Rattus norvegicus: one gene and its partners. The protein of the gene in region 1 interacts with the protein of each later gene in a biochemical or structural test. Links are inferred from orthologs where the notes say so. Each region holds a gene or a part of one and is shown in the gene's direction. Other genes may lie near its edges.

Region 1 (4,445 bases):
AGCTTCCTGGAAACAGCTACGAGATCCTGTCTTCCTCATTAGAACCTTTACTCAACACGGTCTTGGTCTTGAGAAACGATGGCCCAGTAACTTAGAAGAAAATGTGGCATGCCAGTGTAGGGGCAAATTTCTGCTTGTTAGAAGTTGTTATGAACATAATTTCATGAACATGAAGTTTCTGTTGGGAGCAGCGACATTCGTAAAGAAAAGCAAAGTCTTGAAACTTTAAAACTGCATTGGTGTACGTAACAAAGTAAACAAAAGAAAAATTTAAAACATTGTTAAGGGTTGGGGATATAACTCAGTTGGTAGAGTGCTTATTTAGCACTCCGAAGCCCCGAGTTCCATCCCTCTCAGCAAAAAAGGGCTCTCCCCGCCCCCACTACCAGCACGTGCCAGTAATCCCAGTACTTTGACAGGGAGGTGGAGGCAGGAGGATCAACAGTTCAAGACCATCCTCCCCTACATCTTAAGTTCAAAGCCACCGTGCGCTACAGGAGACCCAGGGTCAAGAAAAAAAATTGTTAAAACAGCAGCGGAGGCGGAGGCAGCCGGTGCTTAGAAGGCACGCGCTTGCTTCTAGATTCCGAAGCGTTTTCAAAGCTGGTTACAGTCCTTACCACAGCACACCCTTGTGAGGTAAGTGTATTATCATCTTTGGTTCATAAATGAAAAAGCTGAGGCGCTGAGTGATTAAGTCACTCGCCTAAGGAGCATGAGTCAACGTCAAGAGTCATAGTTGACCCGGCTTAACGACTCCTGACCCTCAGTCCAGGGCTGAGTCAGCGGAGCCCGGAGTGGCTTCCCTGGCTGGCACCTGGACGTAGGCTATTTCCGTTCACGTCCAAGCAGAATACTGGAACCGATTGGACAGAACTTTCCAAACTTTTTACGTCCAGCAAGATTCACCCCTGACGCCTTCATCTCAGGACTGGGAACAGGAAAAGCCGACGCGTGCACTCCCCTTCCCCAAGCGTGTGAGTGGGTACCGTGGGCAAGCCCGCCCACCCGCTTGGGCAGCGATGGCAGCAAGGGACCACCCGCGTTAGTGGACCGGGGACGGGGGAACGCAGACCTCATCAACGACTCTCCATCGCCGCCTCTTTCTGAAACCAAGAGAAAATGGTGGGAGGCGAAAAGAAAACTAAATAAAAACACAAGCAACTTGTCTTAGGACCTCAGCTAAGCAAATGAAGCCTTCTTGCGTGTGCTGAGCCTGCAGTTCTCAACCTTCTAGGAAAGATGGGAGGACTGGGCGACAGAGGGCACAGCAGGAATGCCCAGCAGTGAGAGCAACCGGAGCTCTGCCCGCTGCACCGCAGAGGCCTAAAACCTACTCTGCAGGAAGTGCGGGCGGCGCTGGGAGCCGCGCACCCTCGCCAGCGACCACGTGATCACTTTTTTTTTTTTTTGGGAGAAAAAACTTCCTTGCCTTAAGAGAAAAAAAAAAAAAAAAAAAGAGACTCCACTTCCCAGAAGCCTCTTGTTCCCCAAGCAGCTGCAGTCTTGCGCAGGCGCCGCCAGGGCCAAACGGACACGTCCGTCACGTGGGCAGGAGCCGGCCAATCCGGTTTGAATCTCATTTTTTTCCTCTCGCCCCCCCTTCAGGAGCGGTTGTGCGATCAGATCGATCTAAGATGGCGACTGTGGAACCGGTGAGTATTGCCTTCGGCCCCCACCCCCGAGGTCCCCGCGCTCTGGCTTCCTCCGCTCAGGGACTGTCCGCAGGACGGCGTTCCCGGCGCGCACAGCGCCTCCGGCCGCGTCCTGCCCCTTTCCCACCGGCCTGACCTTCCGCGGGCAGCCTCGGCGCCGGGAGGCTGGCGGCGGCAGCGTGGAGCGCACACGCCGTGTGGGGGCCCGGGCACCGGGTCGGTGGGGGAGGGGCGCCGCGCGGCCCTGCGGTGCGGCCGGCGGAGGGCGGCTCGGGCCGCCAGCGCGGGATCGGTCTGGGGTCCCGGTGGGCGTGGGGCGGGCGGCTCCTAGCGGGCACCGTGGTTGGCGGGGCGGGTGGGCGGCGAGCTGGCCTGAAAGAGTCAGAGGGAGCCTGAGGCAGCGGCGCCTCGCCGTCGCCCGCGCCCCGCCGCCGGGGTCCTCGTGCGGGCCGCGCTCTCAAGCTGTGGAGGAGGGTGGGTTGGCGGAGCCGGTGGGCGCGCGGGGCCGGGCGGGCGGGGCGCGGCAAGAAGGGGAGCGCGTCCCGCGGGGAGCTGGGGGCTGTGGCGTTGAGTGGAGAGCACGCCCAGGGGTCGTGTCGCGCACCTCCGGGGGCCGGGGAAGGGGGCCGGCCGAGAAGGTGATCACATTGTCCTGGCCCCTCCACGCCGGGACTGGGCTGTCATGGAGGAGGGAAGGGGGAGGAGCGAGGCCTACAGTTCGCTCCAGCGGGTCGGCTGGCCGTAGACCTGCATTTCACACGCGCCGGGCTTCCATTCATTCATCCTCCCGGCGCAGTGCGCACGCCTCCGAGGACCGTGTAGATTCTTCTACTCTTACGCGAGGAGATCGTCTGGGAGATACTCAAGGAACACTAATTTTGGAAATAGGAACTTTGGAGATTATCTTTTCTTTAATTAAAGGAAGGAAAATTAAGCGTGGGGGCAGCGGCGCGAGCCAGGGCTTGAGTGTGAAGGTCAGAGGGCAGCTTTTGGAGTCCTGAGAATCGAAATTCAGGAGCCTTTTCCGAACCATCACTTAAGCGCCTCAACATCTGCTTTTCCACTGATGATTCCTCCTCACTCTACACTGCTTCCCTCTTAATTAAAGCGCTATTTTGAAGTTAATTGAAGCAAGATGCACAGAGAGCATCACGTAGGTAAACCCGGTAGCCAGAAGGTGGTGATTTTTTTTGTTGTTGTTTTTGTTGTGGTTTGGGTTTGCCGGCAGCTGGCTCACTGGTCTTCCATCCCAGATTTTTAAAGAATGTCACACCTGTGTGATAAAAATCTCAGGTGCAAAAAGGCATAGACTAGCAACCAGAAACCTTTGTATACCACCTTTGCCAGATATTTTTAAAACTCACCCATAGACTGAATAATTTTGATTAGTTTGCAAAACAGCCTTATCTTGGCAGAATTCAAGACTACTTTTTTGTGGGTGGAGGCATGATTTACTTGTTCCTTATTGACATCAGCTTTCCTGCATTTTGCAAAGCTGCCTAATAAGTTGTTAGTGAAATTAACTAACTTTAGAATATCAATGTAAGAACAGGAGGGGAAGCATTTAAATTTAACTTAAACTCTTGACAAGTTCTGCCGTCTACTTCTGACTGAATCTTCTACCTTTCTCTACCAGTATTAGAGGAAAATATTACAGGTAATAATAGAGGCAAAACTAAAAAGACCTAAGTAATAAAACAGCAGTGTGAACTATGACTCTCAGTTCCATTTAAGTCTTGGATTGTGCTAAAGCCACAATGTAGTCATTGGATTTTGTTCTGAGTCAGCTCAGAGTTGCTGATACCTTTTGGGTGGTTACCAAGTGATATTTAGAATACAAAGTTATATAAAATGCGGTCTGTGCTTTGTGAGCTCTTATGGAGCCTAACTGCCAGTGTCAGGCTCAGAGGTGAGATACTCTTCCTACTGATGACCCTGTTGATGTGCATAGTGTGTGTAAATTTAAGGACAAGAGAAGCCTAGAAGCCTAACATGTGAAGGGTGGAACTTGGGTTGAAACTAGTTGGAGACAGTGTGCAAAGTGACACTGAGGTGCTCATTTTCTGTTTACTGTTAGCACACCCTTGCTTAGAGGCTAGTCATACAGTATTTTAATATTTGTAAGATTTTTTTTTGGAGCTGGGCGGTGGCTGCGGGCTACTTTCATCCCAGCACTAGGGAGACAGAGGCATTTCTTTGAGTTTGAGCCCAGCTTGTTCTACAGAGCTAGTTCCAGGATTCCCTCCAAACTGAAAAGATTTGGTTTGGATGCTTGATTTGTAGCTCAGGACCTGGTGCATTTACTAAGTTTATTCTAGCACTAAACTACACCAGTACGTTGTTTTTGAAGTACTTTATTCAGAGGCTTGGCAGAAAGGTTGTATGTAGAAGCCCACGTTGTCTGCTGTCCTGTGCAGGGCAGACCTTAGAGGTATCCCCATGGCTTAGAGCACACTAGTACTTTTTAAAAACAGATGATTTAGTCTACTATTGGATTACAGTTGAAGCTTGTAAAAATTAAAAATCTTATTTGGTCATTGCTATTTTTATTTAGCTTATGAGCTTTTGTGAGTTTTTTGTTTGTTTTGGTAGAGTATTTAATTGTAAACACTTAGAACACTGGTTCTCAACCTGTGGGGTGTGACCCTTTCGGGGGGGGGGGTGTCTAAGGACTGAGCTGCCTAAGACCACCAGAAAATACAGATATTTACATTGATTCATAACAATAGCAAAATTAGTTAGAAAGTAGCAGTGAAAATGGTTTTATTGTATTGGGACCACTATAACATG
Region 2 (3,733 bases), on another chromosome or scaffold:
GCTCTTTACAGTGTTCTGTTTTCTCCCCCCCCCCTTTTCCCCCTTTTATAGTTACAGCTACCAAGACTCCCAAGCCAGGACATTGGGCGTTACCCTAGCTTATCTCTATTTTCCTCAGCCTGCCCTTGCTCAGTTCACTTTATCTTCCACCTTTAAGTTTTTATTACACTTATTGGGGGAGGGACATGTGCATGTTTCTGTACCTGTGTAGAGATTAGAAGACTATTTACAGGAATTGATTCTCTCTTTCCACTTTATGAAGTCCTAGGGATTGAATTTAAACTGTCAGGCTTGACAGCAAGTGCTTTAATCTACTGAGCTATCTTACTGGCCCCCACTTTGTCCTTCTTTTGTGTATCTAAGTTTCATCCACTTCTCTTGTCTCCATTGTCACTACCCAATTGACTCATCTGCAGTATCACCGTCCATCCTCTCCACCATTCCTCTATTCAGAACCAACGGGCTAGTTTCTCAGTTTGCTTAAAAGTGAAATTAAATTGTCAGACAATATCCAGTCTATTCAGTCATGCATCACTTTGTAAGAGACTCCAGTCAGTACATTTTTGGGAATAATAAAATGTATGTACACTTGCTACCTACAGTATGACTCTGAAAACCTGCAGCTTCTGCATTAACAGGAATCACCTGTCAAATCACTGTGCATAGACATTTTGTCAAAACCAATCTCAGCCAGGCTTAGTAGTACATGCCTTTAAGGCTAGCACTCAGAGGTAAAGGCAGATAGACCTCTTAATTCCAAGCCAGCCTGATCTACATACCAAGTTCCAGGGCAGTGAGATCCTGTCTGAAAAATAGTAATAATCTAAATAAAATCCAGTCTGTGAGGCAAGCCTATCTTTTCTGTTCCTTTCCAGAGAACTTAACAGCTAAGCCTTCCTTACCAAGCTCTCAGTTAGCTATGTCTGATCAAAGGGCTGGCCTCCATGGTCTAAGTATCTTGACTACTGTGTTTCTCCAGGGTCTAGTTTAATGACCTTTAAAAGTGTCATATTCAAAAAGCTTATGCTCAAGGGTAGGCCATAGGATACCTTGACCAACTACAACAAATTGGTATCCATGGCACTACAAAGCTGGGCTGAAGGATCCAAACTCTGAAGTCAACTTAAATGAGATCCTGTCTTCCCCTCCTATAAAACCTGTGGGCATATTTTTATCATAAAACGTGATTAATAATACTACATTACTCCTTCCAACATCCAGGTCTTACTAGTAAATAAACTTCTCAACCAACATCTATCTCTCAGGTCAGTCAGTACAGATCCTGAGTTTCCTGGGCAGGTGGGTGGAGCGGGTGGGCGGAGCCCTCAAGTTAACTGGCCAGTGGCCCGCCCCGGGTATGACGTATCCTAGTATTGCCTGCTGCGACTGCCTCCACCTCAGAGCTGTTTTCCACGGTTTTAAGGCACCAGCTGTTGCCTTCCTGCTGCTCACTATGTCCACGTCCACGAGTTGCCCAATTCCAGGGTCCTGGGACCAGCTGCCAGACGGCTACAGCACCACGCCTGGCGGCACACTATACGCCACTACCCCGGGAGGTCAGCGGGCAGGGCTGGGGTCTGTGCTCTGTGGGACAATATGAGGGTGAGGTGGGGTCGATCTTAGCATTGCTTTCTCAGACTTCTCTTCAAATTATAGCACTGAGGGAAGCCTATTTGAAACTTGTTTTCCCGAAAACCCAAAGCAGTGAAACAGTGCTTTATACCTGGCTTTCTGGCGATTCAGGGGGATAATTCTGTTGTGCTCCATGCCTATGCTGCACCAAAATCACTGGTCCTGGGTCCCAATATAACAGTGGTTCTCAACCTTCCTGATGCTGTAACCCTTTAATACATGTTATAGTGAACCCCAACCATGAAATTACTTTTGTTGCTAAAGTTAAGAATCATAATGGAAACATCTTTTTTCCTGGTGGTCCTAGGCGACCCCCATGAAAGGGTTGCTTGATATCCACCCCTTGTATAGCAACCCACAGGTTGAGAACCACTGCAATAGGTGACCTCAACAGAAAGCAGCAAATAATATGTAGTAGTTGTGGCACCTGGACCATAAGCTGCTGGGCTGGCAAACAGGTTTCTACCTACTTCGTGGAAGCAGACGGGAACAGCAAAAACAGGGCAGGGATCTTTGAGGATACTTTGCTGACCATATATTCCCAGGGGTGAGGCTAGCCCTGAAGGACTTTGGATAGGTGAATGGCCCATCATGTTTACCAAAGAATGCAGCTTCCTTTGCAAGAGGTGAGGTTAGGCCCCACTTTATACACACATCAAAGCAATGAGAACTGGAGACTAAGGACCTCAAGTATCTAAGTTTAAAGTGTGGTATTCCTTCTTCAGGCTTCCACCACCACCACCACCCTAGCCTAAAGCACCCTACATAGACTTACTTAGAATATTTAACTTGCCTTAATGAATGCTTAGACTAAACTTGGTTGTGTGCACAAGTCCTTTATAATGTGATGGTTTGCCAGCTGAATCCGAGCTTGGCTCTGTCCAAGTTCCTAACTCTACCTCAATCTATACTCCTTCACAGGCACCAGGATCATCTACGACAGAAAGTTCCTGCTGGAGTGCAAAAACTCACCCATTGCCCGGACACCTCCCTGCTGCCTCCCTCAGATCCCCGGGGTCACAATTCCCCCAACAGTACCACCCTTCAAGCTGGAGTTGCTGAAGGAACAGAAGCAGACAGAGGAAGAGATAACCGGTAAGAAAATGGTTCAACTATTAACTGCCTTTGTGAAGCAGAGTTGGGATTCAATTCTAAGAGAGCTTACCAACCCTTAGATGGGTTAACTGTGTTCTCTTGTTTTCTCTCCCCAGATGACGAACAATTTGAAATGGACATGTAATCTAGTGCAAAGTGACCTGTGTGGAATTATGGAAGGAGCTCTCATGCCACTATTGTCATCACCCCTTCTAGGGTATCCAGGGCCAGCTGGCCTCATCTAATCTGGAAGTGAATTGTTGGTTCTGAGCTTCCTTTAGTTCTGAGGCAGCTAGACCAGGGATAGCAGTGGGCAACCTGCCAAGCCTTTAGCTTTCTCTGGTCTATACATATTCCTCCCAAACTCTGCTCTTCCCCTCAGGGCTGGCACTGGGGAACAGAGTATGTCACCTTCTGGCTGCTTAGTAAACTTTCAAAAAACTGTCTTGGCTCCATTGTCCTCCTCAGTGCTAAATTCACAGCTGCACAACTAAGGCATAAGTCTGTTTCCAGCTCCCACTGGCCCACTTTCAGCAAAATCAGGGCATGAGGGAAGGCTACTGGAATTGCCAGGCACAAGCAACAGCCTGAGCCTTGCTAAGGTCTAGCAGTTCTTGTCTTTCCAGGCAGCAGCCTTCCTGGAATTAGATTGTTCTAGCAGCCCCTCCCTCTCCATTTGTAAGCTGGAACCCTGGAAGAGATGCTGTTTCACCTAATAGTGATCCCCAATTTTTTGCCCTGCCTTTTCTGCTTATTACTTCTAAGTACCAATCCCTAGTTCAGTGCTTGAAACCTTATATCCTCTTCTCAGCATAACCACCAATATGTTTGTTTCACAGCTGTTTCTTCCTTTCTTTTTTTAAAGTGTTAGAAATGACTTTGGGGATGGTGCTGGAGAGATGGCTCAGTAGTTAAGAGCACGGACATCTCTTCCGGGGGTCCTGAGTTTCAAGTCTGGACAACAGAACCACATCTTACAACCATCTACAGTAGGATTTGATGCCCT
Region 3 (3,645 bases), on another chromosome or scaffold:
AATTTTGCTCAAATTTTAAAAATATGAACTATTTCTATTTTGACACTTTTAGGCCTATATACATTTCCAGGAAGGGAAGATGTAAAATTGTAGAATTCCTTTAACTGTTTTCTTAGAAAAAATTTGAATTAGTAAAAAAAAAAATTTTCTGGCTGACATACAGATGTGGGTGGATTGGCAAATGTTTTAGACTGTCTGGAAAGTACTGTGTTTTAAAGCACTGATTGGCAGCTCTTTGTGACTGAAGAAATCTTCACATCAAGTATTTTCTGGGGATTCTCCTAGATTGCCAATATGTGAAGTTGTTTCAGGACTAGGGAGGATTTTGTTCAGTGTTGTTTTTTACACTGAAGTGTGGTCTCATGAAGCCCAGGTTGGCCTCTCGCCCATGTGTAGCTCAGGATGACTCATGATTTTTTGCCATATCTCCTGGGTTCTTAAATCAGAGGTGTGCACCACTTCTCCCAACTCGTGTGGTGGTAGTGCTCCTGCTAGGCAAGCTTTTTACCCACAGATGCACCCCAGCCTCGGAGGAGCTCCTGGCACTGTATACCACTTGTAGTTGTAGTTCAGATGCTACTAGAAAGTGCTCTCAAGAGAAGGGTTTATTTTGTTCTGTTTGATTATGCCTTTTTCTTTCTTTATGCTTGCTTTTCAGACATTAAATTCCTTTTATGGTAAAGAAGTGTACTTTACTTAAAAGATTTATAAGCCGGGTGTGGTAACACACACCATTGGGCAGGGTCTGACCTTGTCTGTGTAGGGAGTTCTAGGCCTGGAGCAGCTTAGGGGGCTGCACTGTTATTGTTCCCGTTAATTGGTTTTCTGTCTTCACAGTGGATCTGTCACTGCCGAGGGTCTGCTCTGGTAACAAAATGTCCTTCCTGCTTGAACCATCTGACAGCTTACCCCATAGCAGAAAAATGTGGGCTTTGAAATCACCCTTGAATCATTTGCTTGTTAGATAGTTCCTGGACCAGAACTAATCTCTAAGCCTCTGTTTCGTCTTTTGTAAAACATAAACACAGTAGTCTCTGTCCTGGTGAGGGTGTAATGAAGGGAACAGTACAGGCTGGCTATTAGCCCAGCTTGTGCTAGGTACTTCATAAATGTAACTGCCATCATTAACCTGCTTTCTCAGAAGTCCATCTCATGAGTGGGGGTGCACCAGTTCCCATGTTTAATGTTTTATGGAGGTAAGACAGTGACTCAGTGTTTATAAAGAGAGAACCGTTAAATGTATGAGGAACTTCACTTGGTGTTCACCTCTGACTGACACAGAGAGAGAGAGAGAGCGAGAGCGAGAGCGCGAGAGAGAGAGAGAGAGAGAGAGAGAGAGAGAGAGAGCGAGCAAGCGCAAGAGCGCAAGCGCTAAGGCTTTTCTATGTCTTTAAAGAGCAGAGCCAGTGTAGCGTTTTGATTGATACCAGGGTGCAGGGCCCTAGTAGAGATGGACACGGCAGTCCGTATAGTCAGTCTTAATATTTTTGGGGAAGTCCACTCTGCATTCAGAAATGGCAGCTCTGTTGCAACTCTACCCTGACCCAGCTGGAGCTCTGTTGGCACTCAGGGCAGGATTGCCCCTCAGATAGAGGATGTGGCCACTCTTGGCCTCTTCCTAATGCATGGCCATGGCACCTGCTTGCTGGCCATGGAACATAGTACCAAGCTCCTGTCTAGGCCATGGGTTGGTCATTCTTATGATACATTCATTGCAGAAACTGGATCAGCAAATGAAGGAAAGTGTCTCCAGTCCCCAGACATGTTGAAGTAAATAAGTCCTCTACAGAACAGTGAACATCTCTAGGGTAACTTTAGACGTAACCAAGTAGTACTATGTGCCGTGTGTGGCCTGGGTAGTGGCCCTAAAAGATGGGAATTTGTCAGAGCTGTGTTAGATGTAATCAACAGAGAACACACACGTGTGTGATGAACACATATAGTTCCTTCCCATGTATTGTATTTTTTGCCCTGCCAACTTAATCTGAGAAATTTGGCGTTGAGCATTTATTGCTTTTCCTTACTGTGATGAGAAGGAGCAGTGTCGTAGGTAGACAGACGCCTTAGCTACCTGCCCAACACATGGAGTGAATTTTGAAGCTGTGAAGAATTCTCCTTAGCATGGTAATGTGCTCCGCTTTCTCTGGGTGGCAGTGCTCTCATTCACAGACTTCACACTGCTGTAGTCATCTTCGTGGGTGCAGGCTACATTGAGAGGAGAGTCGCTCAGACTTGGCTGTCTTAGATAACTAGACATTTTAAGGAAGAAACCCAAGTTGGGGGCATCAGAGACCTTCCTCTCTCAGTGACTCCCATGTCATTACCTGGAATCCAGTAACTTGGTTGATTAGCACTCCTTTCCTTTATGGTTATCAGTTTCTGCTTTGTTCTTATTTCTCTGTACATGGAGTGTTTATATATAAATTGAAATATATACAGAGCAAATGTTATACACACACACACACACACACACACACACACACACACACACATACACACATATAAACCTTTTCCCACACAGAGAAGTCCAGTGAATGGTTTATTGGATCCTTAGCTCTGGTTCCCTTTGAGGAACTGCTTTATTTTTTTAAGAACCCGATGATTCTGTTCCCTCACTGCTGCTGTTTTTGGTTAGAACCTTTTGGGAGAAATAAAAGTTAATTTTGAAACCACCTTTGATGTTAAAGTGCTTGTGGAGTTTATAATAATTTGATTTCTGATTATTGGTCTTTATACTATTGTACATGGATAGTAATGTGCCCCTAGTACAAAAATAGTCACAGGAAGCACGGTAGAGAGAGGCAGAGGCTGTTTTATCTTAGAAATGGTTGAGCTGAACTGTAATCCTAGCAGTCAGCAGGCTGAGGCAAGAGGACCATGAGCCCAGGATGCAAGAAAGGTGTGTGGGGGAAGATCTGAGGTTAGCTTCTCGTTCTCCTCTTGTTCTCCTGACATCACCACATAGTAAACTGATCCCCTGTCTTACTCTTGAGCAAGCGTCACCTGTTAGTGTCCTGGAGACTGAGGGCTAGGAAGTGTAACTAGAAAACAACCAGGCCAGTGTCTTTGGAGTCTGGTATTTTGGTCTGTTTTCTTAACCACAAGTATGGGTAAGCGATGGGCAGACTTGGCCTAAGACAATACTGTGTATTCTATGATTCAAAATTATTCTTAAAATATTTTATTTCTCTTCCCCCAGAAGAAAAGCCAAAACCAGACCCAGTGTTCCAGTCTCCTTCAACAGTCCTTAGGCTCGTGCTTAGTGGGGAGAAGAAAGAGCAAGCAGGCCAGATACCCGAGACTGCTGCAGGAGAGCCCAGCCCAGAGCCTCCTCGGACCTCATCACCCACCACCCTTCCTCCACTTGCCCGGAGTTCACTCCCTTCCCCCATGTCCGCTGCCCTTAGCAGCCAGCAGCTGCTCACTGCTGAGGACAAGTGTGAACTCTCTTCCTCAAAAGATGATGCCCCCCCTGTGCGCAGCCCCACGTCTTGCACAGCAGCACCAGGCCCTTCACTAACAGATGACATTGGTCTATGCAAGAAACCCTGTGGTGTAGCACCTCCTGACGGCCAGCTCGTTTCTAGTCCTGTCCTAATTAATGAAATGAACGGAGTTGGTGAGAAATTACCAGCCAAGGAGAAC

The links.
Region 2: the proteins of Eif4e (region 1) and Eif4ebp3 form a complex in vitro, tested with the Homo sapiens proteins (2 studies listed by IntAct, with this or other methods). The link is inferred for Rattus norvegicus from reciprocal best matches to the Homo sapiens genes EIF4E and EIF4EBP3.
Region 3: the proteins of Eif4e (region 1) and Eif4g3 form a complex in vitro, tested with the Homo sapiens proteins (3 studies listed by BioGRID and IntAct, with this or other methods). The link is inferred for Rattus norvegicus from reciprocal best matches to the Homo sapiens genes EIF4E and EIF4G3.

Annotation. Positions count from the first base shown.
Region 1 is NC_086020.1:229,739,129-229,743,573, forward strand, and holds the start of Eif4e (eukaryotic translation initiation factor 4E), read left to right. Parts: upstream 1-1,624; 5' UTR 1,625-1,637; coding exon 1,638-1,655; intron 1,656-2,057; exon of another isoform or gene 2,058-2,129; intron 2,130-4,445. UniProt on the Homo sapiens protein: Acts in the cytoplasm to initiate and regulate protein synthesis and is required in the nucleus for export of a subset of mRNAs from the nucleus to the cytoplasm which promotes processes such as RNA capping, processing and splicing.
Region 2 is NC_086036.1:28,538,900-28,542,632, forward strand, and holds Eif4ebp3 (eukaryotic translation initiation factor 4E-binding protein 3), read left to right. Parts: upstream 1-1,424; 5' UTR 1,425-1,453; coding exon 1,454-1,556; intron 1,557-2,553; coding exon 2,554-2,727; intron 2,728-2,843; coding exon 2,844-2,872; 3' UTR 2,873-3,171; downstream 3,172-3,733. UniProt on the Homo sapiens protein: Repressor of translation initiation that regulates EIF4E activity by preventing its assembly into the eIF4F complex: the hypophosphorylated form competes with EIF4G1/EIF4G3 and strongly binds to EIF4E, leading to repression of translation.
Region 3 is NC_086023.1:155,617,363-155,621,007, forward strand, and holds part of Eif4g3 (eukaryotic translation initiation factor 4 gamma 3), read left to right. Parts: intron 1-3,199; coding exon 3,200-3,645. UniProt on the Homo sapiens protein: Component of the protein complex eIF4F, which is involved in the recognition of the mRNA cap, ATP-dependent unwinding of 5'-terminal secondary structure and recruitment of mRNA to the ribosome. Functional homolog of EIF4G1.